Linked DNA regions of Astyanax mexicanus. Each later gene encodes a partner of the first gene's protein in a complex. Links are inferred from orthologs where the notes say so. Each region holds a gene or a part of one and is shown in the gene's direction. Other genes may lie near its edges.

What was found.
Region 2: the proteins of tnksb (region 1) and usp25 are in contact, whole or in part, in a crystal structure (PDB 5GP7), measured with the Homo sapiens proteins. The link is inferred for Astyanax mexicanus from reciprocal best matches to the Homo sapiens genes TNKS and USP25. Residues at the interface, in NP_003738.2 of Homo sapiens: Arg836, Ser838, His842, Leu843, Gly846, Tyr847, Leu871, Asn876, Ser879, Tyr880, His882, Asp900, Trp902, Phe904, Glu909, Gln912, Lys913, Gln934, Glu935; in NP_037528.3 of Homo sapiens: Ser1046, Ser1048, Arg1049, Thr1050, Pro1051, Ala1052, Asp1053, Gly1054, Arg1055.

The regions. Positions count from the first base shown.
Region 1 is NC_064429.1:11,652,263-11,668,535, reverse strand, and holds the start of tnksb (tankyrase, TRF1-interacting ankyrin-related ADP-ribose polymerase b), read left to right. Parts: upstream 1-8,013; 5' UTR 8,014-8,100; coding exon 8,101-8,467; intron 8,468-10,311; coding exon 10,312-10,536; intron 10,537-12,323; coding exon 12,324-12,419; intron 12,420-12,504; coding exon 12,505-12,541; intron 12,542-13,431; coding exon 13,432-13,507; intron 13,508-16,273. Other genes in the region: agpat9l (glycerol-3-phosphate acyltransferase 3-like), read left to right, coding at 494-573, 674-773.
Region 2 is NC_064427.1:6,129,452-6,145,407, reverse strand, and holds the start of usp25 (ubiquitin carboxyl-terminal hydrolase 25), read left to right. Parts: upstream 1-7,323; 5' UTR 7,324-7,503; coding exon 7,504-7,545; intron 7,546-13,639; coding exon 13,640-13,717; intron 13,718-15,162; coding exon 15,163-15,307; intron 15,308-15,956. UniProt on the Homo sapiens protein: Deubiquitinating enzyme that hydrolyzes ubiquitin moieties conjugated to substrates and thus, functions in various biological processes including inflammation and immune response.

The DNA.
Region 1 (16,273 bases):
ATGCAGATTACCATCAGCTGTCGGAGCCCCGAGAGAGCACAGTTGTCCTTGTTCTCTCTCTGGGTGGGTACAATACAGTAGATGGCGCTCTCTCTTTCCCCTCATCACTCCTAGGGTGATGTGGATCAGCACAAGGCTGCGTCTGTGAGCTGATGTATCAGAACCGAGTCGCTGCGCTTTCCTCCGAGCGTTAGCGCTGTGATGCTACTCGGCAATCCTACGGCATCAGCAGCAGTTATTATAGAGGCGGAGTTAGCAGGATGCTAATTGCTGTACACACGTTTCCAATACTGACAGTATTAGCCTGGTAGCTCCAGTGTTAAAGTAAAGAAATACACTTCAGGTACTGATCTCCTGGCTGTCTCTGCTGGATCTGTGTGATTCAGACGTTCTGCTGCAGTCTGGGTTTAATCAGAGTCCTGAACCCAGCTCTGTTACGCATTTGGTTACGCAGTGCTTTGTGGCTTTGCTGACTCATTTCCTGTGTGTACAGGAAGGAGAAGATGCAGTGCAGTTTGCCAACAGGGTGAAGTCTGCTATCGCACATCAGGGGGGGCTGCTGGACCTGGCCTGGTGAGCAGCGTTCTACACTTCATATCATATTCATAAAATAGTGAAAGACAATATAATATTATAATATACATTATAATTGTGTGTGTGTGTGTGTGTGTAGGGACGGTGGTCTGAAGAGAGCTAAGGTGAAGGAAACTTACAAACAAGAGCAGCAGAAGAAGTACAGCAGCATGGTGGTTGGAGACGATAGCAGCGAATGACCCGCCAATCACAGTACTGTGATTCTCCAAACCCACCAATGACAGAGAGACTCTAATCCCACCAATCAGAGACATACAAGACTCTTAACCTGCCAATTACAGACACCCAATTCTCCAAACTCCCCCATTACAAATCACCTGAATTTTATATTGACCAATTACAGACATCACAGACCTCCAAGACTCCAAATGCTCCAATAATAGACTTCCAAGACTCCAAATCCATCAACCACCTCTAAAACATCAACCCCACCAATTACAGACCTCCAAAACATCAACCCCACCAATCACAGGCCTTCAAGACACCAACCCCACTAATTACAGACATCCAAGGCTCCAAACCCACTAATTACAGACCTCTGAGACATCAATATCAACTCTCCAATTTCAGACCTCAGAAATATCCACTTCACCAAATACAGACCTCCGCGACATTAACACCAACAACCACAGACCTTCAAGACAACAACCCCACCAGTCACAGACCTCCAAGACTCTTAAACTGAATTTTATATTGACCAATTACAGACATCCCAGCCCTCCATGACTCCAAATGTAGCAATTGTAGACATCCAAGACTCCAAACCCACCAATCACAGACCACTGAAACATCAAACCACAGAGCTTCTAGATATCAACCCACCAATTACAGACCTCCAAAATGTCAACAACAACCACAAACTTCCAAGACACAACCTATTACATAACTTTGAAATACCAACTTCACCATTAGAGACTCAACCCCACCAACCTCAACCTCAACCAGTCATCAACCAATTACTGACTTCCAAGAGCCCAAACCCACCACACCCCAATTTCATCAAACACAAAACCTTCAACCTCACCAGCTACAGACCAGCAACTGACCCCACCAATCACAGACTCCAACCCAGAGGAGATTTCTCCACAGTGACCTCAGGTCCAGAGCCAAGGAGGTTCTGAGCCTCAGATTATTCCTCAGCTGCCTGTATCAGTCTGTCTGTATGTCTGTCTGTAGTGAGGGGATTTATTGGGGTCTGTATCTGATGCCTCCTGAGGAACCAACTCTCTGACCGTCGTCCCCCATCTCAGGTCTCAGCTCTAATGGAATATAATAATAATATATTATTGTTTACGTGGAAATCACTCTGTCCTGCTCTTCGTTTTGCTAATTGCTAAAGCTGGTGATGTTCTGATGTGGGAGAAAGTGAAAAGGTTGCACTGATTTATTTTTTTTTGATGACAGAAAATGTTTTTAGATGGTGCCAAATGCAGATATGTGATGATTATTTTTCCTCAATAAAGGAATTTCAGACAAATAAACCCCTCCCTTCCTTCAGTTCAGTCTACAATAGAAGTCTGGTAAAAATCATCACTGTGCAATGAAAAACAAGCATCTCCATTTTTGACCATTTTTAGTTTACTATACAAACTGTCCCTTACACTGTGCCCAAATTTCTTAATGAACGGACCAATAGAAACTCTTCAAAATTACCTTAATTAGTTTTGAGAGTTTTTTCTCTCTCCTATAAAGTTGCTGTTTTGGAGATACTTATTTTTCATATATATAAACAGAGTGGTCTGGTAGGTTTGCTGGATGTTATTGCTATATATGCAGAAAGCATTATGTCAGTATTTCATAAATAAATAAAATGATCAGAACAATATTATACTCAAAAACAAAGACTTTCACACAGTAATTTATTTACATTAACCTGCATTAAAAGAACTCTTCAGCGTGCTCTCTGCAATTACACACTCTCACCAGAGAGGGCTCCAAATCCCCTAATCCACAAAACTTACAGACTGTCGCTAATAAAATAAAAGATTTTTATTGAAAAATAACCATATAATTTGCAAATATGCAAGTAAAATGCTTTAATCACAAAAAAATAGAAAATAATAAAAGACTATTATTAATACAAGCTTGTGTACATGTGTGTGTTGAACGGGAAGTACACACATTTTAAACATTTTAATTTTTGCATTATAAATTGTTAATGGTAACTCTTTAGGAGTGATTTGGTGTCAAATTCTATTAAACATTTTGAAAAGACTTTGGGTCTAAATTTTTGGCTTAAAAAAGTAACCAAAGAAAATGTGCATTAGTTTAGATGTCCCACCATATCATCTTCATCGCCATCATTATTATACCATATAAACTCAGAATCAGTGGTGGGTTTGAAAAGTAAATAAAATATCTATATTTCTACTATAAAGTATAATTATTTGACATTAAAACTACAGTTTTAATAATAATTTTACACACTGAATAATACAGAGAATTTTCAACATTTGGTGGAATTTCACTTTAAAATAAATAATGTTTTGTGGGTGTCAAAGGGTTCTCAGCAGGTCAGGGTAAAACACACAGCCTGTGTGTGTTTATGAGTGTGTGTATATGTGTGTGTTTATTAGCCTGTGTGTGTTTTTGTGTGTTTTTGTGTGTTTTATGGCACCATTTGTCTCGTTTACTTCCTCCAAGAGAAAAAGACACACAGGGCAGAAGCTATTTGTATCAGAAAGTTCAGTAGCTTTATTACTTTTCATATATTCATTTTTATTTCTCATCAGTATAAAGTATATTTAAAGTAAATACACTACAGAGAACACCTCATACTGCAGCACCAAATCAAAACCACAACAACAGCGCCCTCTAGTGTTCAGAGCTGGAGCTGCAGTGTTTAAACTGTACTGCAGAGAATCTTTAACACACTGTAAACGGAAAAGTTTATCATTATGTGAAATGGAAGCTTAAGAGTGGAAGAGTTGTGTGTAAACAGTATTTTATATATATTTTAATCTGATTTTTGTGCTACTAGCACTGCACTACATCTCCTCAAACTGCTGCTGCTTCTAAAACACTACCACTGCACCTCAACACGCTTGGAGGAGAACACTAACTTACTCTGGTGGGTTTTATGTGTAACAGAGAGAGAAAAATTTAAGTTTTGTATGAATATATTTATATATATATTGAGCCTGCCAACACATCTCCAGTCCACAGAAGTTTACTTGCAAGCTCTTAAATACTGTATACAGTAATTCATTATTATCCACTGCAACTGCTAACACTGCTAATAATACTAACCTGAGATAATGCTGAAAATAATGACCTAGTAAATAATTAGAAAATTATTGAAAATGTTAACGATTAAAACTAGTTAGTGTAAAAGACCTGATTCCCAGCTCCAACATCCAAATCCTGAGGTAAATGGAATGCAGCTAATTTTATGGTAAATGAGGCACAATGCAATAAGTAGCCAATCAGAACAATCAGAGGTTATTTACATTTATTAGTCTTAAAGACACTGAAATAAAAAATAAAAGTCTAATTATACCTAGAGATCAGAAGATAAAAAAGAAACTATAAAAAGTATCATAACTCTTTATATATTAATAAAAATATTATTTATTTTACCCATTTATCTGTTTATTTAGACGTTAGCTTACAAACAGAAAGCAGTTTATAAATACAGAGTTAGAATACTGAAGAAGATCAGTGTTAGGATATACGGCACATGCCATCTCCAACACCACACCTTAACATCATCAACTCCATTATGTCCAGGTATCCACCTGAGAGGTAGGTGTGTGTGAGTGTGTGTGTGTGCGTGTGCACTACAGTACAGTGCACGTGGATGACTTTTTGGAGGGTGGATGTTCCAGCTGTCCGTCGTTTACTCCTTCTTCATCATTACTGAACTTATCCTTCTGCACACCTGAACACACACACACACACACACACACATTGCTCGTACAAATGTATAACTCAAAAGGTCAGACAGTGCAGTGTAGCTAACAAGATATATAATCAACATGCTTCTTACTGTCTGTTTCAAACTTTAAATAAATTATATACATGAACTTACATGATTTTAGACAACAAGATTCTCTACAACTTCTATCTGTGCACATTATTCCATGCTGTTTGGATACACAAACTACTGTATAATGCTAACCTAGGGTGCTAACTGATGACAATGCTAAAAACTGTGCACCGTGCAGCTTTATTTAGGGTGTGTCAGTGTGTCTTTGCTATCGTAACGATGGGAAAAGTACGCACTGGTTCTCTTAATTAATCATGGATGTGGTTAATTTTGGCTGTAAAGTTCCAGAACACCACGCCCGTCAGTGTAGATATATTCAGAAGCTCTGCTGCTGTTTAAACCAGGCAGAAGGAAGGAGTGAAAATAGACTGTTGGTGGGGTGTAAGATAGCAATGAGCATCATTAGATTTAGTGCATAACATGCCTTGGCTGAATAACTAAAGAGGGGGTCTTCAGTTTAATACTATAAACAGTTGTTTACATGCTAAGACGTTTAATATTTTAAGTTTATCTGTAAAAACAATTACAAAACCGTGTCACAGCAGCTTTTCAGAAGCCTGATTTTCCCTCTTTTATAAATAACCATTTGCTTTATTGCAAAAAGCAGCAAAAACAACCTCATCATTTGACCATGTGCCTGAGGTAACCTCTGACCTCACAGTGATCAGTATAACTCACCCTGCTGACCCTCAGAGCGAACGTCTTCTTTACCTCCAGCTGCAGCAGATCTACATTCAGCCTGTGGAGCAGAACACACACAGTAAACCTCACACATCCATCTGGTTCATTATAAAGCTGCCATTTGTTCTGATTCTTCCAGCAGATGGAGGAAGATCTGCACCTCTAAAGCTTTCTCCAGCAGCGTCCTCTTCTCCACAGAGAGAGTTCCAAAATACCTGCAGAAAACAACACACACATCATCACAACCTACACACTTTACCTTAGTCTAATTAAACAGGATTTATTACAGCTTCTGTAATAAAATGTGCAGCAGGTCAGTGTTCTTTAAATAAAGATGATATCCAGGATATGTTCAGAAAAGTATATTTTGTATTCTGTTGACACAACTATTAATGATGCAATACAATAATACAGTTCACCCTTATTTCAGCTTGTCCAGAAATGTGTGTGCAGAGCAAATTCTGAAATTCCGCTATCTGACTGTAGGGGGAGCCCAGGAGCTAGAAATGGCAGTTCAAACATAATGCTGCTTTAAATTAATCCATATACCGGTAACTAATATATACAGCTCTGAAAAAATTAAGAGAGCACTGATTTTGTTATTTATAGGTTTATGTTTGAGTAAAATGAACATTGTTGTTTTATTATATAAACTACAGACAACAGTTCTCCCAAATTCCAAGGTTACCAAGATGCAGAGCTTTCAGACCTCAAATAATGCAAAAATAAAAAGAAAACAAGTTCATATTGATAAATATTTAGGAGTTTAGAAATCAACATTTGGTGAAATAACCCTGTTTTTTAAAATAACACAGTTTTCATCTTGGCATGTTCTTCTCCACCAGTCTTACACACTGCTTTTGGATAATGTTATGCCACTCCTGGTGCAAAAATTCAAACAGCTTGGTTTAAAGTTTTTTAATTTGGTAAAATCAAAGAAACTCATCTTTTTTATGTGGGCTCTTATTTTTATTCCAGAGCTGTATATTTTACTAGTCTAGACATTTCAGATAATCCATTTTTAATGATTATGCTTATCCAACAAGTTCTAATCCGTCAGATTCTGGTAATAATGTTTTGCTTGTTAAAATAATCCTGCTGATTAATATATTATATATCTAATATTCTAATCCACATTGTTAGCTCATTTGTGAATGACTGTTTATCTTTATTTCTTAAATAATTCTTCATGAATAAGACTTTGAACAGCAGCATTTCTGAACTAAATTGTTTTTAGGAATGTAGAGTTAGAGCTTCATTTCATTTTCAGACTGTATTCACTATAAATGTATTTTCTGATTATAGATAATAGAATAAACAGCAGCAGATCTGGGGCCTGTATATAATTGACACACAGATCTAAACCCAGTAAACACATGAGTTTATCTACAGATACTCACATCTTCAGATAAGAGCCCTGGCTCCTGTTCCCAGTGCTCATCCTCCCAGCAGCTCCAGAGGAGGTGGGCATTCTGCACCTGCATTCCAGCAGCCCAGTAAACACAGGCCCAGTTCAGTCCCAGTCCCCCCAGCAGTGTGGATTCTGGTCCAGGTCCAGCATTGCTGTGCTGCAGCAGCACTACTAAGGGTCCCGTGGGTCGCGTGCTGCTGCTGATCCGGGGCCAGCCGGCTGTTTGTTGTTGTCTCCATGGCAACACAGGGCACTATTGTTCACTTCCATCCCTCTCACCATTAGCAAACATCAGCAGAAACTAACTGGTTCTGACAGACCTGTAGAGTTCTGAAACTCTGGGTCACAAACACGGACCAGCGCCGGGTCTTGAAATCCAATACTGCTGCTGTACCCAATTACTGAATTACAATACTGCTGAGTATTTAACTACACTGTAATTCAGTATCAGATTTCAGTGTGTAAAGAGGCTGTACTGTCTTAGACTCTGTTAGCATGCTGTTAATATCAATGCTTCTTCATTAAACCGAAATCTAACTGAAAACTGAAGTCATAACTTCTGCTTTTATTATGTAATTTATTGATGATTTATTGATTTTTATATAAAAATCTGCAATTATACAAATCCAAATCTGGGAATTTGGGAATCAAAATGAATTCAAGGTATTGATATTGCAAGGTGAATATATTTGTACAATTAGCAGAATATCACAAAAAAAATGACAGTAAAACATTACTTCACTAAATTAGACTGGTGAATCAGCACAGTGTAACATACACAGCACAGCTAAAACAGAGCAGTCTGATTAACACAACACAGTTAAAACAGCACTTTTAGTACTGAGCACAGATATAGTACTGAGGAAATCGGACTCTGCTGTTTTAGCTGTGCTGTTTTAACTGTGCTGTGTTAATCAGATTGTACTGTTTAGCTGTGCTGTGTTAATCAGGCTGTGCTGCTGTTTTAGCTGTGCTGCGTAATTCAGACTGTACTGCTGTTTTAGCTGTGCAAATCTGACTGTACTGTTTTAGCTGTGAGGTGTAAATAAGACTGTGCTGTTTTAGCTGTGTTGTGTAAATCAGATTGTGCTGTTTTAACTGTGTTGTGTAAATCAGATTGTGCTGTTTTAGCTTTGCTGTGTTATTCAGACTGTGCAGCTGTTTTAGCTTTGCTGAGTAAATCAGATTGTACTTTTTTAGCTTTGCTGTGTAATTCAGCCTGTGCTGTTTTAGCTGTGTTATTCTGCTGTTTTATGGTAATATCTGTATCAGCTGATCGTGCAGAGACTCTCGGCGGAAGCCCGCCTCTCCCTGAGCGGAAGTGTGTGTGTTGCTGTGTTGTTGACAGAGTGTGTGTGTGTGTGTGTGTATCTGGGTATAGTGTGAGGGAGACTGTACGGGGTTTTGTATGTAACGGCTGGGTGTAATGGCGGTGTCCCGGCGCTCGTCTCAGCACCACGGCGGCGGGCTCCAGTCCCCCCCGCGGCTCTCCGCCGTCTCCTCGCCGCCCCTGGACTCTCCTCAGGCGGACACGGCCGCGCTGAGCCCCGCGGAGGCCTCTCCGGAGCGGCCGGGCAGCAGCGGAGCCTGCAGCTCGGCCAGCGGGGCCGCAGGCAGCGCCAGCCCGTCCTCAGCGGCCCCCAGCCCGGGCCAGGACAGCGGCGCCTTCCGGGAGCTGTTCGAGGCCTGCAGGAACGGGGACGTGTCCCGGGTGAAGCGGTTGGTGGACGCGGCGAACGTGAACGCGAAGGACATGGCGGGGAGGAAGTCCACCCCGCTGCACTTCGCCGCAGGTCGGTCGGGGAATCTGTGGAATCACTGCGCTGCTGGGCTTCGGGTTGTTTTCCAGCTTCTGTTGGAATTCTCCGTTCCACCTTAAATTCTGCTGCAGTTACATTATGTTCCCACAGGCAGCAGAACGGAACAGCTGTACTAGTTAAGGTGGAACGGAGAATTCCCAAACGAAGCCTACGTTAGCGTTTTATCGGAATTTAACTTTAATTTAACCGATTAATACACATCTATGGGTTATCAATAGCTGCATTGCGATCAATAACAATGTTAAAAGGCGAGATGTGGTACAGATTTAACCTCTAAACATGCCGAATAAACGATAATGGTCACGAAGTAGATTAGCCAAGAGCTAACTAGCCTAGCCTAGCCTAGCTAAACAGCTAATAACCCCCAGGAGCTGTAATAGGCGAGCAGCGAGCAGTGTGTGTGTGTGTGTATGTGTATATATATATATATATATATATATATATATATATATATATATGCACAGATATAACTGATCGAACAGTGTGATTGGTCAGTGAATTGTACGAGCGGATGCTGTGATGATTGATAAAAATTGCATGAACAGTTATTATTGATCAACGGGTTTGATTGGTAGCAGATATTATATGGTTATTGATTTGTGTAATAGACTGTTGTGATCAATTAACCCTAACTCAAGTAGTACAGCATAAGGCTTTGAATACTTTGATTAATACATTGATCATCTTTAAGTGATTGGTAAACATGTCTAAATCTAAAATTATTAATCTTGTTAGTATTATTATTTTTAATCAAATGATACATTTTGCAAGCATCAACTATTTGGGAAATTTAAACTATTGATCAAAATCTATTGATTAAATGCAGTGAGGGGTAAAGAGGTATTATTTACTAAATGTTATTATTGGTAACCAGCAATTCAGTAAAGCATAATTGGAAAACAGATATTATGATTATTAACTGATGAGTTAATTAATAAAAATTATAGTAAGCCCATTTTTATTTTAAATGTTATTTGTAAACACTAATTATTGATCTAGGCTGTCATTAGCAAACATCCAATTTTGATAAGATGCTGCTCTTGGTGAAAATAAACAGCCGTCATCAATAAGTAATACAGCATGAGGCTTTAATTACTTTGATTGATACATTGATCATCTTTAATTACGTGATGTCTATGTCTAAAAATCTTCTAACATTCTTGATCAGATGATGTAATTTATGAACATTATGCCTCAATCAAAGGTTGTGATTGGTAAGCCGATGAGGAAACGCTTTTGTTTTGACCATTGGAACTAATGGTCAAAACCCATTTGATTTAAAAGCAGAAAAAGGTAAACAGGCACTAAATGTCATTATTGGTAATGAGCAGTTGATAGGAAAATAGCTATTATGATTATTGATCACATGTTAAGATTGGTGAATAGCTGTAATTGGTCAAAATTATAGTATATATCTTGTGCTGTCATTAGCAAACAACAAATATTAATAAAATGCTGTGATTGTGGAACATCTGTTATTGATTAAAAGATGCGTACAGAACCTTCTGCATTGAAGTTCTTTAGTAGATCCGTTCCTAATATCTGCAGTCTGGTATAAAGTGTGTTTATGGAGTGTCTCTGACAGCAGTGTAAATAAACGGATTGGCAGTGGAGGGATTAATATAGCCGACGCCTGATTCTTTAAAATAGACCTGGATCAGCTGTGATGCGGATCTGCTGGAACGGTTCTGGGCGTGTGATCGTATATTACAGTCAGTGCTGCTGCTTCAGCCTCAGAGAGGTTCTGCTGGTGTTCTGGGTGTGTTTGGTTCTGCAGGGTCGGGTTTTGATGTGGTTCTGTTGTTTGGTCTCTGCAGGTTTTGGCAGGAAGGACGTGGTGGAGCATCTCCTGCAGACTGGAGCTAACGTTCACTCCCGGGATGACGGTGGGCTGATCCCGCTCCATAACGCCTGCTCCTTCGGGCACGCCGAGGTGGTCAGCCTGCTGCTGTGCCAGGGGGCGGATCCCAACGCCCGCGACAACTGGAACTACACGCCTCTGCACGAGGCCGCCATCAAGGGCAAGATCGACGTCTGCATCGGTGAGCAGATCAGCACCGTCACGCATCTGTATCTGATATTTAAATTACATCATATTAAAGAGGAGATCCGCCCTCAATATCTGCGGGTTTCCACGTTCTCTTAGCATGTCTCAGAAATGGTCATTAAAGGTCAAATTATTCTATAGAGTCAAATCTATGGGCTGTCTAGGATTAGGCAATGTATCAAGAAATATTTGCAAATAAAAATATTCACATTTAGAGCATTTATTTACAGAAAATGAGAAATAACTGAAATAACAAAACAGATGCAGAACTTTCAGACCTCAAATAATGCAAAGAAAACAAGTTCATATTCAGTTTTAAGAGTTCAGAAATAATCAGTATTTGGTGGAATAACCCTGGTTTTTAATCACAGTTTTTTTCATGCATCTTGGCATCATGTTCTCCTCCACCAGTCTTACACACTGCTCTTGGATATCTTTATGCTGCTTTACTCCTGGTGCAAAAATTCAAGCAGTTCAGGTTTTCAATTTGGTAAAATGAAGGAAAAACATCATCAAGTGGTCCCTTATTTTTTCAGAGCGGTATATACACACATACACACACACACACCACTGTTATATACAGAGTGGTGCTGTTGATGCACTGTGGAGAGGGATGATCCCTCATCAGTAACAGTAACGATGGGAAACCTTAGCGGTAAACACACACACACACAGAAGCATCGTGTGTGTGTTTCAGACTCGTGCTGAATGCCTCTGTGCTTACACACTGCTGAGGCAGCATGCTGAGTGTGTGTGATAGAAAGTGACAGCATCACTGGGATGTGTGTGTGTGAGAGAGAGAGTGGCTATAGTCAGGTTCACTCTTGCCTGAGTGTGTTTAATCGTGTGTGTGTGTGTAGTGTGCGTGTAGTAATGGTGTTAATGTCAGGTCTCATAAGAATTCAGTTCGATTTCGATTCATTGAATCATGAAATCGCTAGTTTCTCCTCAGTTGAGTTGAGTGATGGTGAATACATATATAACTGTGTATATAAGTAGAGAAGCTGTGTGCACTGGGTGGTGGTGGAGGTTCAGTTTGGTCTGCAGCAGTGTTTGCTGGTTTGTGTGGTTAGTGGTGTTTGTTAGCTCTGTTGAATTGCTGTGCTAATAGCTACTCACTGTATGGGCTGAGTGAAGCACTCTGCGGAGGGGTATATGTTAGTGGGGTTAAACTGTTTATTCTCTTGCCTTTATGAGACGCTCTACTTTTACACATTCTGCAAATTAAAATGAAAGAGCCGAGCCTGAGTGGATGCAGCAGTGCTCTGGCTGTGTAGGGGTGGAACAAGGAACTGCAGCTTCCTGTAAACTGCAGTGAACCTTAACAGCTTTAAGGATATACTACGTTAGGGAAATATTGATTGATTGTGTATTTTAGCTTAAAATGAGCAAATACTGATACATAGCCTATACAATATATACAGAACAGTAAATTGAACTTAGGAGTAAATAAAAAATAATAAACTGTAATAAATAACCACTCATTATTACAGTGTAATTAAGACATTTGCAACCATAGCTTACAAAACACTCCTCATTTTCTAATGCACAGAATTCTGAATTGTGGATATTGACTCAAAATATATGCAATCAGATTAATTAGTGCGATATGTGAATTTAATAAAACATACAGAATCTAATCTTTAATTTTTTGTGATTATTGTAAATTGTAAAAGTGTTTTTTTTCCTACATCAGAAGCTGGAAATGCAGAACATATTGGAAAATGTGTATATCTGTGTATATTTAATTTAAAAATCTATATTCTATGCATGTGCTTTCAGTGCTGCTCCAGCACGGTGCGGATCCCAACATCAGAAACACAGACGGCAAATCAGCTCTGGATCTCGCAGACCCCTCCGCCAAGACCGTCCTCACCGGTACACACACACACACACCTCACTGAGTAGTGCCTTTGTTATGTAACCCCCCACTGTTCTGATCAGTGTGTTCTTCTGTCCACAGGGGAATATAAGAAGGACGAGCTGCTGGAGGCAGCGAGGTGAGTGTGTGTGTGTGTGTATGTGTGTGTGTGTGTCAGCAGCCACACCCCCCCACACCCACCCCTCCCTCCGTTGCTAAGGGAGTGTGCTACAACAGAATGAGGAGGATACCCATTACCTCCGTATCTTTACAGCTCCTTCAGATTTACACTGGAGCTACGATGCTAATGCTAGGTATCACTATAGTGACGATATCACAATACTGTGATCACAAGACAATTCTCTACGATACTTCACAGCATCTGTGTTGCTAAAGAGGATAAAATACTCCTCAGTGCAACATATTATAGTGCACACTATCAATGAACGCCTATTGGTCTATTTTCATACATAAGGCACACCGGATTATAAGGTGCATTTTAAGTGACAATAGTAAGGAACATGGGTGTCGCACAGTAATCTACACAGAAAACTGATTGTTTGGGTGAGTAAAGCGCTTCCGTTTATGTACATTAAGCTATCAGCTAGCAGTTTGCCCCACGTACCTCGTTTTATACTCACCTCTGAATGGCAAAAAATCAAGTGCTGTAATAAGCGGCTAATGCTAACACTGAACACTGCCCCAGCCTTAGTGCTGGAGAAACTTCACTGAAACTCCTGTATAATGCTGCACTTTAGGGGGGAGGGGGCGTGGCTTAGGGAGTATTGATAATGTATCACAAACGAAAATTATATGATATTTTGCAATATTTTGTCCCACCCCTGCCCCTACTAAAAGTAATGGAAGCTTATGTGCAGCAATTATACCTCAAATTGACTGATCATCAAACACGTCCTACTGGACTAACAAGCACTCAATGAGCCCAGTGAATCTACAGCATGACCTAATGTAAATAAATATATATGTATAAATGTGTGTTTGTGTGTGTGTGTGTGTGTGTTCTTTCAGGAGTGGGAATGAGGATAAGCTGATGGCTCTGCTGACTCCACTCAATGTCAACTGTCACGCCAGCGATGGACGCAAGGTAGCTCATACACACCTGCACACACTTCACACACACACTCACACACTGCATTATATCCTGTGATGCACTATAATTCGATCATATATATTTTTTTGTCTGAAACCTAACAATAAGAAACTTTTTTCTGAAGTCTGAATACAAAATACCTTACATTGCATTCACAGATTTTCTTAATAAATTGAGTTAGGCATAAATTCAATTATTATTGTATAATATATAAATTATTATTGTAAATTACTTTTGGATTTTCTTTGTCTTATTATTTTTTTTTTAAGAAAATGTCATTGTTTGGTTCAAATTTCTGTCTTTTTACTTATCCGGTAACATATATCTACTTATATATATATATATATATATATATATATATATATATATATATATATATATATATATATATATATATATATATATATATATACAGGTGCTGGTCAACGAATTAGAATAATTTGAAATAGTGCAATCATGAAATTCCTTGAATGCATTTTTTGTGCAGAAAGCAAGGACAGGTTCACCGCACCTGTCCTACTCGTTAGACTAATCACAGAACTCGTTACCTGGAAAAAAAATTTGCTCGGCTGAGCTTTCCAAAAGGCCCATTTAGGCCATTTAACTGTGACACTGTTGTTTTATTGAATTAGAATAATGGAGAAACCGTTTCATTGAATTAGAATAATTTTTATTATAATTACAATCATCACTTTCTCAGTATTTTGTGGCTGCCCCCTTGGCTTGTATGACTGCCTGAAGTCTCTGCGGCATCGATTTGACCAGCTTGTCGCAAGTTTCCGCACTCACAGCTTCCCAGGCAGTGGCGATGTTCTGCTTCAGTTGGTCCAGCGTAGTAGGCTTTCTGTCGCGAATTTTCCGCTTCACGATGGCCCAAAGGTTTTCAATGACATTGAGGTCAGGCGAGTTGGCCGGCCATGCCAAAACTTGCTGTTTTTTAGTGAACCAATCTTTGGTCGACTTTGCCGCATGAGCCGGTGCAAGATCCTGTTGAAATATGAAGTCTTCTTTGCCAAACTGTTCCTCAACAGTCGGAATCAGGAACGTTTCCAGAACATCTTGATATACGGCAGCATTGACAGTCTTCTTGAGGAAGCAGAGTTTCCCTACACCTCGAGCGGACATGCATCCCCAGACCATAACACTCTGGGGAAACTTGACGGATCTTTTCACGCACTCGTGGTTGTAGGTTTCGCCACCACGACGCCAGACACGAGGACCTTGGTCACCGAAGGAGATGCAGAAGCGTGATTCGTCACTGAAGACCACTTTCTGCCAGTCTTCAGCAGTCCACTCGCCGTGTTCTTTGGCCCACTTCAGCCGTTTCTCCATTTGTTTCTTGTTCAGCATCGGTTTTACTGCTGGAACACGAGATTTGAAGCCGAGTTCGCGCAGACGACGGTAAGTGGTTGATCTGGAGACGTCAGCGCCGGTCTGCTTGTTCCACAAGTCGGTGAGCTCGGAAGTGGACTTGAAACGGTTGCTGACTGCGATCTTTCTCAGCTGCTTGTTGTCGCGAGCAGAAGTTTTTCGGACGCCGGAACAGTTGGTGCGCTTGCTGCAGTTTTTCTTGAGAGCTTTGCAGACGGAAGACTGGCTGATGCCGAGCTGCTCAGCAATTTTAGTTTGGGTCAAGCCTTGTTGGCGAAGGGCTTGAATTTGAGCCACTATTCCGGTTGAGAGGTTGCGCTGCTTACCCATGATTGATTTTACAACTTAGAAATTCTACTCAACCCTGACTTTATACTGCACAGTGAACACTCTTCACAGAAAACAAAAATTCGAGCATTTATTCTAATTCAATGAAACGGTTTCTCCATTATTCTAATTCAATAAAACAACAGTGTCACAGTTAAATGGCATAAATGGGCCTTTTGGAAAGCTCAGCTGAGCAAATTTTTTTCCAGGTAACCAGTTCTGTGATTAGTCTAACGAGTAGGACAGGTGCAGTGAACACCTGATTTGCTTTCTGCACAAAAATGCATTCAAAGAATTTCATGATTGCACTATTTCAAATTATTCTAATTCGTTGACCAGCTCCTGTATAGTTCTGCTTTTTATTCAGTGCATCCCTAGATATATCCACATATTATTAATATTTATTATTATATTATTATATTATTATATTATAATATTATATATTATATTATTAATAATGGGGCAGATGTGTGTTGAAGGTTCCCATCACTTTAAAAAGCACATTCATTTATTTATTTATATATTTATTAATTTTACAGATGATCAGGACACTGTAATATATGATAAACTAAAGAAAATGAAAGAGGCTCTAATAGAGATTAGTGTAAATGGTTTAATGGTTCTTGGTTGTGATGTAAAGCCTCTGTAATGCGGTTCTGTTGGTACAGTAGATCTGTGAAGATTAAATATCAATATTAGATTTATAGAGTCTGAAATCAGAACACTTTATCAGTCCCCGCTCTGTCTGTCTTTTTTGTCTGTCTGTCTGTTTATTTTATTTATTTATTAAGCGTGTGTGTGTGAGATCACGTTTGTGTGTGTGTGTGTGTCTGTGCTGGCAGTGACCCAGTTGTGTTGGGCTGTAGTGAGTGGAGTTTGGGGGCGGGGTTAAGCTCGTTTTGTTATGTGTGTTTTTAGGTCGTCTGTTTCATTTCTCTAAACACAGTCTGCCCACATCTGGACAGCGGTTACTTCAGGACCCGTCCCACTGTAGAACCCTGACCCTAATATCAATATTAATGTTTACCTACTCTTCAGTTATAATTACTTAAATAAATACCT
Region 2 (15,956 bases), on another chromosome or scaffold:
AATTGGGACCTTTAATGGCTTCACAATGAGGTTTGTTGTTTGGGATGGGGAGAAAAAAAACAAAATCTATTAATACATGCAAGTAATCTGATTTTGAAAACATGGGAGACCCCAGATTTTTCTGGTTTTAATCTTTGTTAGCCATAAAGCTCCCTACACTACTCTCAGACAGCAAAATTCACTTTGGCCAATTAAAATCAGAATCAGCATGTGTTTTTTGCCTAAAAATGGCGTGAATGATTTTCGCTAACTGACTCACTGCAGTGTGGGGAGTTTGATCTGGATCCTGTTTAAATTTAGGTCCAATTCAGAGCATGATACAGGAGTTTTTGTCCACACCACTTGTGTCAACACCCCAGTTGCAGAGTTTACCACGTGAAATTGCCCCCAGAAGTTTGTACCAACACACCGGTTGCCAAATACTATAGAAATTGGCCCGAGTTGCTTCTGCAAGCAACCTGATTAAACCACACCACTTTTGCCAACACCCTAGTTGCAGAGTATACCATGTGAAATTGTCTCCAGAAGCTTGTACCAACGCATCGGTTGCCAAGTATACTATGGGAATTGGCTTGAGTTGCTTCTGCAAGCAACCTGATTGAACCACACCACTTTTGCCAACATCCCAGTTGAAGAGTATACCATGTGAAATTGTCCCCTGAAGCTTGTGACAACACACTGGTTGCCAAGTATACTATGGGAATTGGCTTAAGTTGCTTCTGCAAGCACCCGATTAAACCACACCACTTTTGCCAACACCCCAGTTGCAGAGTATACAGTGTGAAATTGTCCCCAGAAACTTGTACCAAAGCACCGGTTGCCAAGTATACTATGGGAATTGGCTTGAGTTGCTTCTGCAAGCACCCTGATTGCAAACTATACTACGAGAATCAGGCTGCTCCGCTTGTGCCAACACCTTGGTTGTTGAGTAAAATGCGTGAATCGGCCTGAGCCGCCTCTGCCAATTCTCCAGTTGGTGAGCATAATATGGGGACTGGCCAGTGCAACTTGTGCTAAAACCCTGGTTACCAAGTATAATTTAACAATCGTCCCACGCTTCTTGTGTTAACACTTCAATTGTTGAGTATCATATGAGAATCAGCCCACAAGAAGTCGCTTGTGCCAGCAAGCTGATTATTGCTAATTATTATAACTGAATCAGGACTGCCACTTGTGCCAACACCTCGGTTGCTGAGTATAATAAGAGAATCTGCTTGTGCTGATTGCCAAAAATTAATTCATCGTGCTTTCTAAAGAAGTTTGTGTGAAGACAAAAAACTTTTAAACTTTTACAAAGTTTAAAGAACATATACTATATGCAATTATCTACATTATATAATCTCAAAAACCAGCCCGATTATCTTAGCATGGGCCAGGAACTAGTATCATGTTTCCGTAGCATGGGCCAGGAACTAGTATCATGTTTCCGCTCAATCTGCCACCATCTCCAGCGCGTTTGATAGGGTGATCTTTTGGAGCTTTGAATAAGTCCTTCCGTGCATGACCACCCCTGAGCACGGGTCACGCACTCCCAGAGTAAACAGTTCCACAAACCACACTCAAATGTGAAAGGGTGGCTCGGTGTCAACCAATCTCGTGGAGGAACCGGCTCGAGATTAGAACTTCGTGGCTTCGGAGACGGAAGGTCACGCAGGGGCCACGCCAAACATATTTGTGCTGTGGGCTCGCCGAGATTCATTTCTACTCCCAAAGGTAAGAGTTAGTAGACTTTCCACACAGCCCAATACATCAGACTGACCCTTAGGTAACCTTTAGCGGAACAGTTAAGATATATGTCGGCAGTGCCGGAGGAGACGTTATGGGGTGGTTCAGCAGCTCCGATACTTCTCAGACGGACGGTTTCGCTCTGCAAAATAGCCATAATGATTCAGTTGTTTTGACATCGCCGGCTCATTTTGCCAAAGGGACTGACATTGGCCGTCCACAGGCTCGGGTCATCCGCTCCAGCCCCCCTCCCTGGTAAGAAGACCCAAAGGCTGCAGTTCCACTCACTATTCCATGTCAGGCGGTTCTTGTGGCAAGACCCGGTGAATAAATAACAGTGTCCTTTATCCAAATCCATCTAGCTTAGACTGGTTCATTCTTTCTGCAGTCATAAAATCAATACTCTGTGCGCGCTCACATCTAAATGAAGATAGAGGCACGCTGGAGTTAAACAGGCGTTCAGGCAGAGGTAAGCCTTTCCACTGCGGCCGCAGACACAATTCCTTTTGTTGCGCATCGTTATGAGTCCGTTTGTCGCGCAGCTGTCGAGCGGTGTGACATTTTCAAAATGCTTTCTGCGCTTCAGTGGTGAAAGCCTTCAATATGAACGGATGAGTGGGTAGTTGGATTCTGAAGAAATCTACCACATGTCTAGAGTTTATTCTGATTAGAAATAATGCAGGACGAGTCTAGTTTAAAAAATGAAGGTGCTACAAAGGATTCTTTGAGCGAGGCTATAGAAAAAACAATTTGGTTCCATAAAGAACCATGTTGCAATGAAGATGTCTGAGCGTGAAATCCTTCACTTGTTGTAATGCTCCTTTGTCATCTATCTATATCCACTTGTTCCTGGTCAGGACCATGGTTGGCATGGTTTCCATTCATTGCTCTCATCACTGACCTCGCATGTAAAAGCCGGTGTTGTGCCAAAATCTGCACCCCGCCAGGAAAAGCACCCCCTCTCGGGAGCGTGCACCCATGTCTTCTTGATAAAAGCGGAGATAATTGGTTTAGCTAACTTTAATAGAAACATGCTTCCGAGAGGGGTGATTTTCACTGCGAGGTGCAGAGTTTGGCACGCTTTCAAAATAAAAGTTTAATTTTCTGCGGTATATTTTATTTGGGGGGACAAATCCACCTAGTTCTGATATTCCCCCTGGTTCCTATGCACTTGATTTACTTTAATGATTTAGATAAAGTAGGTGATGTATCGGAAGTGGGAATGCCTGGCCTTCCTCCAGGAAAACACTGGAAATGGTTAACGCACCAACACACTCTCTCTCACACACACACTGCAATCACAACTGTTTCATTAGTAAATTCACTTTTATTTTCTTAGATGTCTAATTTACTTTTAGATTTTATGCATATTTACATAAAGCTATATCTACATGCATTACATTTGCATATAATCTCTTTGATGTTCTGTCCAAGGCCTTTCAGAAATCCACACCGAGCTGAGACACAGACCACCTAAAGTCATCAGAAGATTCAGTAAAATGTGTTATAATCATTACTCCAGATGACAGTCTGAAGGTGACCTTGATGCTCTGCAGGCTGAAGTTGCATCACTCTGCTTATCTGAACAGAGCCGCTCTACGCAGCGCCGTTCAATCTGGATAAATGAAAAACAGGCATCAATAAATCATGGCCAATCTGATTCATGTATTTAATAGAAAAGTCTATTGTAATCGAATGCGCTTCACACAACAGAAGGAGGAAAAAGGTCACTGCTTAGCTCTGCGCCAGTGGAAGCTTCGCTGGAGCCTCAGAGGACATGACCTTACTTACAAACAATATGGTCTTACATGTATCCTATATTGCGGCTTACAAATAACAGGGTTATGCAATGCTGTGCTCTGAGGAACTGTTGTGCACTACTGCCACCTGCTGTACCGTCCGTCCACTCCACTCAGTCTGCACACTGTTTAAACTCACAATTAGTTTAAACTCAAATAAATTAAGCTTGTTTTATGTAAAACTGGATATTTCCAAATGTTACTCAACTATTTTGAGTTGTGGCCACATATACACCTCTGGGAAAAATCAAGAGCCCACTTTAGTTTCTGAATCAGCTTCTCAGATTTTGCTATTTATAGATAAATATTTGAGTAAAATGAACATTGTTTTTTTATTCTATAAACTACAGACAACATTTCTCCCAAATTCCAAATAAAATCATTGTCATTTAGAACATTTATTATCAGAAAATGAGAAATTGCTGAAATAACAAAAAAGATTCAGAGCTTTCAGACCTCAAAAAATGCAAAGAAAACAAGTTCATATTCATAAACTTTCTTAAAGTTTAGAAATCAATATTGGGTGGAATAACCCTGGTTTTTAACTCAGTTTTCTTGCATCTTGCCATGTTCTCCTCCACCAGTCTTACACACTGCTTTTGGATAACTTTATGTCTTTACTCCTGGTGCAAAAAAATGTAAGCAGTTCAGCTTGGTGTGATGGCTTGTGATCATCCATCTTCCTCTTATATTAGACATAGATACATAGATTATATTCCAGAGGTTTTTAATTTGGTAAAATCAAAGAAACTCATCTTTTTTTTCCCAGAGCTATACATTAACATTGTGTGTAGTCATTCCCACCAGGCTTCTGAGCTGCTAACTCTGTGTTGGCTGTGTGCTATGCTGTTCTCTCGGTAGCATTTTATTACTAAATCTTACTTTCTAATCTATATTTTTCTTAAATTAAATAAAAATAACACAAATACATAAACACAAATAAAAAATATATATTTTATTAATTACCTTAACATTTTCACCATGGAATTTTAAGTACAACTAGTTCAAATGGGTTGAGTAATGTTCTGAATTCTGTTTTGTAATGAAGGATGATAAGAATAAAAAATGAGTGGTGCCCTCTGCTGGGGAAAATATCCTTATTAATATTGGTCAGATCTGTGACTTGGATTTTGAGTGAATCTCACTCTTTTTTTAACGAACAATAATGTATTTCAGTTTTTTAGAAATGGCATATGGATGGATGTATAGATGGATGGATAGATACATAGATCTGATAGATACATCAATCAAGACAAATCAAGATATATACGTAGGCTGCCTTGCATTCCAGTACAGTTTAAAGGGCCACTAAAAGCCCCTGATTTTTGCTGACAGGCGTAGTTTGGGCGGGGCACTGGGTGATGTATGGGTTTAGAGTAGGGTAGGAGGGAGAGCTCATTGAGTGAGCTGGGGGTGGTATTATTGATTGACTGATCTGCATATAGTGATATGTCTGCGTACCAAAGTACACAGACACGTCATCCGCGTCTATAGCATAGTTGAACCTGTGAGGGTGCTGCGTTGGCGAAATTTCCCAAATAAAAGCGTTTTTAAAACTGTTTATAAAAATTTTACGCAGGACTGGTAAGTTTCAAAACTTCAAAGGAACATATTTCAGCTATTTTTGGAAATATATATATAGTTTAGGGTTTCGTGGCTCTTTAATGCAGCACAGCAAACTTTATACACACACACTTTTACTGCAATGCTCTTTACACACGTGTAAAAAAATGACATTGTTAGGTAATTAGCATGGCGTTGACCTCTAAATGAACTTCTTTACATGTAGTTTACATGCTCTCTGAAACACCCCCACCCTCTCTCTTATAATAGTGGATAATGTGACCCCCCGCCCACGCAGAAGGTCACAGTACAGCTCTGCAGAGGCAGGGAGACCACCTCTGACTGCCGCCCACCACAGCACCAAAGCCCCTTTTTACAGAACTATCAGTTTTTCTCTGCTTCAACCACTGTGTGTGTTGAGTGAAGGTAATCAGTGTAAAATTTTATTCCAGAATATTTTGGAACATTTCTATTTTGTATACAAAATTTGAACACAATAGTACGATCAACTGCCACATTTACATTGTTTCAAAAAGTGAAAAAAATAACAAAATTGTAGATAAAAGTTTATATAATATAATAAAGGTGTGTGTGCTTCTCTATCTTGTGTGAAACAAACACTGGACTATCACCAGTCTCATCTTTATAAACACACGCCCAAACATTTCTCACAACCTCTTTCTCAGAACACGGAAGAACCATGGTGATTTAGAACATCACTGCACAACTGAGCTGCTTTTTATAAACTTCTTTACAGGGCTAAAAAGTTGTTTGTAATTGTTTTAATAGAGTCTAAGTGAATAAATGAAGTGTTTTGGGGTGTTTATTTGCAGAGATAAAATTGGTGACAGTTTTAATCCAGTGATAAATCCAGATGCCAGGCAGTGTAAGCCAATCATCTCCTACTGTGAACTAAATAACTCTCATCAGATACCAAACATATCTTGGCTGATCAACTCCATATGGAGTTGCTGGTGCTAAATCATGTTAATCAGATTTATAACTGAACTTTAGCTCCTCATTTCAACACTCCAGTTATTTTTACTTGGAGAGAAACTGATCTTTTTTTTTCTCCATTGGATAATTGAGACTGAATGAATAAAATGTGAATGAATTATTTTATAATCCTGCTCATTTAGTAAAAGCCCAGAAGGCCATCCGTACCAAACCAGACTCCCAACTTTCTCTTTTTATTTATATTTCTCTGCTGTGTTTATTTCTGGGTCAGTTAAGTTTCTGTTCTTCGTTTCTGAACACCAGTGATCCACAACGAACTGGAGGATACAGCCTGAGCCTTGATCATGGCATGGTGACAGTGTACAAAAGGAGGAGAAATGTGTCTTTCTCTCTTGCCCTTTGTTACTCACCTGCACCTCTCTCCCTCTCTCCCTGTCTCTCTCTCTCTTTTTCTGTCTTTCTCTCTCGCTCTAAAAATTTGTTTTACTGGATATTGTATATCTAGTCATTTGCGGGCCTCAGGGAGCCCCTATTAAAGGGACACTTTAAAGGGACACTAAACCCCCTGTTTTTAGCTGACTCCACTCTCAACTCCAATTTGAAAAATGCAAACAAAAAAATGGGAGGGGTAGTTTGGGAGGGGCACTGGGTGATGTATGGGTTTAGCAGAGTTAAAACTGATAAGGCCCTGCAGAGGCGGCGATGACCACAATAAAGTTTTTTTTATTTTTTATTTAGGAAATGTTTCTAAAAGTTTAAACAGGACTAGTATGTTTCATTACTTCAAAGAAACACATTTCAGATTTCAATGGAAAAAATATAGTTTAGGATTTAGTGACTCTTTAATACACGGGAGACAGCCTGAACTTCAGTGACAGGTGGGATCTCTAATATTGTGAAGCTGTAGTACTGAACACTTAATACTAGGAACACCATACAAGCATTGACTAATGTTTTGGGAATGTTATGACGTTTCTTATATATTTTTTCTGTGCTTCCAGCTTTCAGTTTCCTTTTATTATTATGTGAAACCTACGAACACACAATATACTAACATACAAAAAAAATAATCTAATCATTTTATTCACCAAATTTATTTATTTTATCCTGATAAAAAATGAATTTAAATAAGAACACTAAAATTTAAGTTATTATATCTCGCAGATAAACGCAGGTTAAGTGAAATAAAGCAGAACTCAGTGAGAATAAGTGCTGAGCTGGTTCAGGGCAGCGCTAGGTTTCAGTTTCGGTTATTGCTGTCTGAGCTGGCGGCGCTCCGGCAGACAGCACTAATGGAGCAGTGTGCGCTGATGGAGCCCGTGGCTGCGCTCTCCAGCGGGGGCTCCGCCTGAACTCCGCTCCGGTAACCCGCACCTCAGCCCCGCCGGCTCGGCTCGCTCGGATACGCGCTTTATTCCTGAGTTCAGTTCATTTCAAACCCTCCTGTCCGTTTCAAGCCATGACCGTGGAGCAGAATGTCCTCCAGCAGCATTCCCAGAAGGTAAGGCTAAGCTAAGCTAGGCTAGGCTAGGCTAAGCTAATGTTTTTGCTCTGCGCCAGTTTGTTGTGCTGGAGTTCGATTCAGTTGAGGGAGCCGATTCAGTAGGACTGTCCGTTTAAATGGACCGAATCCACTTCAGTCTGCCACATGATTTAGTAGAAGTGTAGTAGAGTAGTAATATAGTCAGTGCTTAATTACATGAGATGAATATGTTTAAAACCAGTTCAATTTAAGTTATTTATTTGCTCCCAGTAGCAAATACAAGATTAACAATAATAGCTTTAACAAGGCTGTAGCTGTAGTGTATTTTGTTTATTTATAATATATACAGATTAACAGAATGAAAAGTGTAGTTCATATAACAGTTAGTGTATTAATTTTTATAATACAGCAATGTATGTAACTGATGTACACACATTTATCTATATTGGTTATATTGAATGTGTTTAAGTAGTATACAGTAGGGCTGTCCAATACATCAATGTGCACAATTCAGCATGTGCAGTCACATTTAGTTAAAAAAAAAAAAAGAAAACCTTTCGCAGTTTGATATAATAGGAAGATCTGCACTGTTCTTATTTTTCATAAGAACTGTATAATATATCTACCTGTGGCAGAATATGTCTTCGCAATTTAATTCGTTTTATACCAATCTTGACATTTCAAAACAAGGACGGTGTATTTCTTTGTTGTGATAGGTTTTCATATCACAGTAGGTATTGCAAAAGAACAATTCCAATGTATCGTGTCCTCAATATTGTGCAGCCTTAGTATGTAAAATATTTTATCTATAGAGCTGGATTCTAAACTAATAAGAAGTGTATAGTATTTTTAATCTGTAGCAGTAGGATACAATAGTCAAATTATAGGAATATATAACAGTATATTTAGACTGTAGCAGTATGTTATATAACTACAGAAATAGTATATGTATTGGTGAGTGTGGGTTCTCACAGTAGAACCATGTTTGTTGTCATTAGTTTAGATACTTTTGTCACAGAAGGATCGTCCAAGTAGACCCACAGTAAATAAAGAATCTCAAAACTTTATGACTTCAAAATAAGATAATTTTTATGATGTTTAAACAATATAATAATAATAATAATAATAATAATAATAATAATAATAATAATAATAATAATAATAATTTATGATTATTATTATTATTATTATTATTATTATTATTATTATTACTACTACTTTAATAGCATTATTATTCACTTTCATTATGGTAGTTTTTTTGGTAATATGAACATTATTATTGTTATTATTATTATTATTATTATTATTATTAGTAGTAGTAGTAGTAGTAGTAGCAACAGCAGCACTTCTGTTTCAACTGAGTTTGACTCGTGAATCGGTGCCACTGATTCACTCGATCGACTCGGTTCAAATGAACGATTCATTCATCGCAGTTTTGGGAAAGTTAGCTAAGATAAGCTAAGCTTAGTGTTTTGTGCCTCACCAAAACTTACACTCCTCTCCCTGTGTTCTTACAGCATTCAGCGGACAGGTTCACTCTTGTTTACCCGATTAAAGTTGATAAACGCGGCTGAACGGCTCTTTTAGGTGGAATAACAGAGATTGGAAAGTTCGCTAGCGGGCTAGCCAGCATGCTAATGTTGACATAGCTGCGTGACACGCCTAGAAACGAGTTCAGCGCGCTGGGTCTGGATAACCTGCAGCCCGTTCTGTATAATTATGATATTAACTTAGTTAACTGATGTAGTTACAGGTATGTAACATTATAGTGTTATGTCTGGTTTAATTACACCATATTGTACTTAACATGCCAGGTAGCACCAGGCTAACGCTAACTAGCAAGCTAAACCTGGCTTAGTTTAACTGTAGTGTGAGAGAGACTGTGCTAGGAGTAGCTTATGCTAAACCTGGAGCTAAACCTGCCTGATAATGTGAATAAATCCGCAGTGAAATTGACTGGTGAAGAGCTAGTGTGTTCTGTATTGTGTTTTACTATTTTAGACCATATATTCAACTCTAAAAGCACACAGTCTAAGCTTTTAAACTGTGTTCATACCACAAGCAGAGTCACAGCTACAGATAGGATACAGCTAAACCCCAGGCTGTCTGATTTCAGGTCTGGCTGTGGTCCAGCCTGTATCAGTATCATTTGAACTCTAGTTATTATGAAGTGAGCAGACATGCCATGTTTACACGACTTTGGATGTTGATAATCTGGCTTAAAACACAGCTAAAATCTACACGTTTGATGTGTACCTTTATCTAATGTTGAATATATGTGTTGTAACATTTTTAGAGAAGAATTCCTCTGATATTGCAGTGGTTAAGATGCCTAAAACACAAATCCAGCCATATGAATCACTGTCCATAACCGCCGACACAACACCTCAGTGTTTTTAACATGGTGGAAAATCCAAAGAATAAATACAATACAATACAATCTAATACAATGTTTTAGGCCTAGAATGTTTTATTTATATAAAGTGTCTCAGGGCTTAAAACAGTAAGGCTGCACAATATACAGCTCTGGAAAAAAGAGACCACTTAAAAATGATGAGTTTCTTTGATTTGACCAAATTGAAAACCTCTGAAATATAATCAAAAGAAAAATAGATCATCACAGCCATCAAATCAAGTTGAAGGAGTGACATGAAGTTATCCAAAAGCAGCATGTAAGACTGGTGGAGAAGAACATGCCAAGATGCATAAAAACTGTGATCAAAAACCAGGATTATTTCACCAAATATTGATATTGAAATATTGATTGACAATACTTTTATTTGGAATTTGGGAGAAATGTTGTCTGTAGTTTATAGAATAAAACAACAATGTTAATTTTACTCAAACATAAACCTATAAATAGCAAAAGCAGAGAAACTGATTTAAAAACTTAATTTTGGTCTCTTAATTTTTTCCAGAGCTGTGTATATGTGTATATATATATATATATATATATATATATATATATATATATATATATATATATATATATATATATATATATATATATATATATATATTGTTTCAGCATCATCTTCGTAGTGCACACATGCTTATTAGTCATTGGTGATTAATCACAGGACATGCAGTGAATCAGGGTCTTTATTAGTTACTGTTTACTGTTTACAAAATTGACTGAATGTATGAAACTCTTTATCATTTCTATATTATTTATACTAAATAAAAGTATTAGAAGTAGTAGTATATTTTTGAAGTTAATAATGTGTTTTTGTCAAATTGCCAGGAATATCATTATAGCATTATTTTGTTGCAGCACAACAAAATATCTTTGCTCATTAGATTGTTTCAGTATATTAAGGTAGTGTATGTCCGGCAGTGTATTCATAAGCATTTTATGTAATAGCTTTCCGTTAGAGAGCTTTTAGAGGCATTTAATGCTTCAGACACAGCCACTGTGAAAACTCCTGACTCAGTAAATTTCTCTTAAATGGAGCATTTTACATCAGACATTTTTTACATCAGACATTTTTACATCTCTCATCTCTCAACCTCATGCCAAAAAATTAAATATATAATTTTAGTGTTGTATTTAGTCTTTGTTACTAAAAAGAGGCAGAACACTGGACTTAGTAAAAGCCATAGTAGCTAAATATTAGTTATACAGTTATATGCCAGAAGTCAACAGGCAGAAATAGATAAATTGAGCATGAAGTGTTAATGATTGTGGTGTCTGGCTGGAATTTAATGAAGAAGGCCCAACACACAGGTGCTGGGGCATGGCAAAAGTCATGAGACATGATACTAGTTCTTATTTCATGTCATTATATTCATTTTTAGAGAACTCTTTAGGACATCAGTATGATATGTTTTGATCCTAAACAGTCTGACTGTTTTCAGATTGCTTGGGTCAGATTTCACAGTTGTGAAATATATTGGTTCTATCTCAACCGGGTTCATGGTGGTTGGCTGTCTGTCAGTAAAGGAGTTTGGTGCACAGATGATTTGAGTAGCGATTAGCTAATGGTGTTATTTGACACTGCTGCTGAGTAGTGGAGTTATGAGAGCAGTGATGATGTGTAGTTGCACAACAACCTAAACAACTGAGTGCAAGATCTAGGAACCGACTTACCTAAACTGTGAGAGTGCAGATATGTGAGGACCTTCATAGTGAAATAATCACAACATATGACCATATGTTTTGTAGACAACTGCAAAAAAAAGTATAGATAACTTCATGCACCTTGAATATCTGGATTATTTCTGAATAAGGCCAAACCACATACAAATACCAGTGTAAACACACCCAATACGCGTTTAAAACATACAAATACAATCACTGAAACCACTTCAGGAGGTATATTATGACACATATTATAGCAGTGTAAACATATCTGTCTATACATGGCACATTTAACAAGCAACTCTCCTTCCTGTACAACTAATATGCCAGTTATAATTGTCATACGAGAAGTACATTTGCATACTTTGTCCCACACAGCAATCAGATTTCACGCTAGAGTGAGACACATTTGAGTACCAAGAGTAAATGCATTTGGTTGAAATCTAATCGGGATACAGTCTATATAGACTTGTCTTAGATCACCTTTTGAAGTGGTTTGAGTGAACAGACATGGTTTAAATCTGTTTAAATTTGCTTCTTGTGAAAATTATAAATGTAAAGCTTTTACTATCTAGAATTGGTGTCAGAATAATTTTGGTTTACAGTATTTATTTCAGATTTTGTGCAGAGGTTTTACACACATTGTTTTGTATTGTTTTAGGGAGTATAGTTGTCTGTTTTGACACATTTGAGAGTGAATGGTTCGGTATGACCTTTTCTGACACATGAGCTCCTTCTTCTCACCATATGAAGCTTTTAAGGTCTTGAGCTACGAGTGCTGGAGCAAGAAACCCAACAGTGTACACTGTTTCTCTGCAGGAGATCCAGGAGAACACAAATCTACCTGACAGACCTGTGTGTAGAAAAGAGCTGACCTGACAACCTGTCTGTCAGTCTTGACAGCCTCTCCTTAAACCTGTCAGCGAGGTGGATGCTTTCATTGTATAACAAAGCTCAAAGACAATGTTCAGCAAAGTCAGATGGTTGTCTAAGTAGGGCAGATTTTGTTTTACTAAGGGTGTCCTAATCATAATTTGTTATATGGGTGATTTTTTTTTCATGCAGTATGTTGGCTAAATTTACACTGACATTACTTTCCATTACTTTCTATTGGCTAAGTTTACAGTATAAAAATGTATTAGTTATTTTAAATGGGCAATCTGGCATTCATTGGCTCTAGCAAGTGTATGACAGTATGTTTTAAGAAAACATAAATGAACACACACAGTGAGGAAAGTAAAAATACAATAAAAAAAAGTAAGTAAGTTTGTTAAAATTATGTTGGTTAAGAGATCCTGAATGTCAATTTTGATACATTTTTAATGAACTATCCAGTGATGCATTAAACCTCTCTTGGTTGCCCATTGCCCCAAGAGGAAACCACTGGGTAATATCCTGGCATCAACATAATTATGATGGATTTGGTTGGTTAGTGATTCACACTGTAGAGTAACCGTAGATTCCATTCTGGGGAGGAGTGCCCTGAATCTGATTTTTGACTGCATTCCGGTGTTCTTGGCACTCTATATTGTTTTTCAGATTATTATACAAAGAGCTGTTCCCTGCACAAACACGACACGGAGAAAGGGCGGCTGCATTATTTATTGCTCCATCTTTGCAAAAAGGTGTGGACACTGTTTTCTCTACTCCTGTGTCTCTGGGCAACTGCTTCTCTCCCAAACACTGCTCAGTGGCAGGGAACTGGTGATTTAGAGCACTTTCACTGAGTGGGTTTGCTGGTGGAACTCTCTAGGAACTCTGTAGCCACAAGGATTTGCTTTCTGGAAGCAGCCGCCCTCCATATGGACATCATCGAGCCTGTTTTTGTACATGATCTGTGAGAAAGCTGTGCAGTTCTGTTAAGGTCACTTGACCATATTGTGGTCAGATTGTGGTTTTGGCCTTTCCTTGGGAGGAAGAAAATAAGACTCTGACTTGAGGCATTTCATTGAGATCCTCTCGTGACCAGAGCTCTGTAATCAAATCCAGACTGTAACTCTAATGTGTACGTCTCATTTCTTCTTTTCCCAGCACCAACAGACATTACTGAATCAACTACGGGAAGTAACGGGCACCACAGATGTTCAGCTGTTACAGCAGGCCCTACAGGTAAAGTATATACAGCTCACCAGGGCTGGAAAATAAGTTGATATCAACGTATACTGTGATGCATAACTTTATTTTTGGGAATTTTAAATCACTCAGAACCTGCCTGAGGTCTGCTTTGAGCTAGTAGCTACATGCAAGTGTTTTGAGCTTCTTAACTAAAGACCAGATCAATGTACAGACATGATAGACATACAGTAAACAACAGGACTTACCCTACTTAACTAAGGCATTGAATGTAATCAATTATAAGCAAGTAATCCAGCTCAGAAAAGCATTAAGCATTGCAGCTAACACACTTCAAGCACGCCAAGGGCGACTGCAGTGTATGTTAGCATCATAGCTTTAACTTACTCTGTCAAGCTGTTAGCGTTACATCTAACCTGGTATTCCATGCTTAATAAAGTCCGGCTGAATCAAATAGAAGTTCAAATTAAAGCTGAGACCTGACCCAAGCCTGTGCATGTTTTGCCTGAGCCCAAGCCCCAATTTAAAAATGTATTCGGGCTGTTTAAATGAGTGAAATCTGTTCCGAACGATGCTACTTAACATAGCAACACTAAAGAAGTATAGACCTATTATTTAAGAAAAACTGTGTAATGCAGACAAGTAGAGGAGCTCACGTGTGCACCCTCGAGCTGTGTGATTATAACATTCTAACCTGTGCAACATTTTTTTTTTAAACACAGTTTGATTTGTTACTTTGCTACATTGTGATAATCACACCATAGCTTTATATAAAAAATACAAATATCTTTAAAATTCATATGCCTACATCACAGACCCAGATTTTCTTGAGCCCAAACTGACGCGGCTCGAGAAAAATGGTGGGAAATCTTGGTTGGATCGTGCGGAGAATCTAACTGTAGTTAAATTCAAAATTTTAATTTACTTTTTTCCCTCCCTTTTTTTTTTTGCCAAGTAAAACTTTGAGCAATATACGTACAAAAATCTAAATCGGAAAATAATAAATAATGACATATTTGAGTCTAGGAGCTTCTGAACATAATATCTGGCTTCTGTGATTGCCTCCTATAAATTCTTAATCATTTTTAGGTAAAGCAATGTACAAACTTGATCAAACTATCAAATTATCCTGCAAAATTGATAATGGGTGGTTTAGTTATACACTATTTACAGCATCTGTCACTGACTAATATTCATTACAGAGTGAGCAGAAAGGGCCGAACAACACAGGCATCTGCAGCCTGGTGTCCTCAATGCGTAACATACACATACATCACAGATAGTGACTTTTTTTTATAATGTTCATATCGATATTAAAAAGAGACTGTATCAAATAAAAAGAAGTATATTGTCATATAAAAGTGTGGCCATATTTTCAGTCCTTCTGCTCATTAGCTTCTTTTAGAATCCTGTCTGGATCAATTTTGCAATAATTTTGTGGTTTTTTTTATTTTATTTTTTTTGCTTCTTCCCCTCCACAGGTCAGCAATGGTGACCTAGCTGAGGCGGTAGCCTTTCTTACCGAGAAGAACGCCAAGGTCCCTCAGCAGGATGAAGCCACCTACTATCAGACTGCCCAGATTGGCAATGACAGATACATCAGTGTGGGCAGCCAGGCTGACACGAGTACGTATTTAAATCTTCTCCTGGCCTGACAGAACAAAGCTTGGCCCAAACCCAGAGGAGTGTTCCCGTTCTTCTTATGTTGTACACTTGGCACAAAGCAAAGCACTGACTGTGACCTGCTAGAACTCTCTTGTTACTAAAAGCAAGATCATAACGTCAGGGTCACGAGAGAGAGAGAGAGAGAGAGAGACTTAAAAGGAATTGGTTTAATTCCATAACTTCTGTGACTTCCTCAAATTTAATGACACATGCAATGTCCTGTATTATATAATCAGAGGAGTCATAATCTTCCATAGGAAAAAATTACAAAGGATCTGAGTATTTATATGAAAAAAATGAGAAACTAAGAATTTCAATTTTCCGCAAACAAGCTAGACATAAATTTTCATGAACGTACATTAAGATAATTTAACTTTGAAGCAGAGCTCCTGTCTCTTCTCCTTTTATACTGTTAATGGTAAAATGTTTTATGAAAAGCTTATAAAAATTGGAACATTAATTAAAAAGATAAATTTGCTGTGTTTGCCACAAACCTTCTCCAATGTTCACTATTTTTTTTTAGAAGCGTATGTAGATCTTAAAATATCACACACACACACACAAATTCTGTTGTTCTCAACATAATCCTTCATTGATCCCACAACAGGAT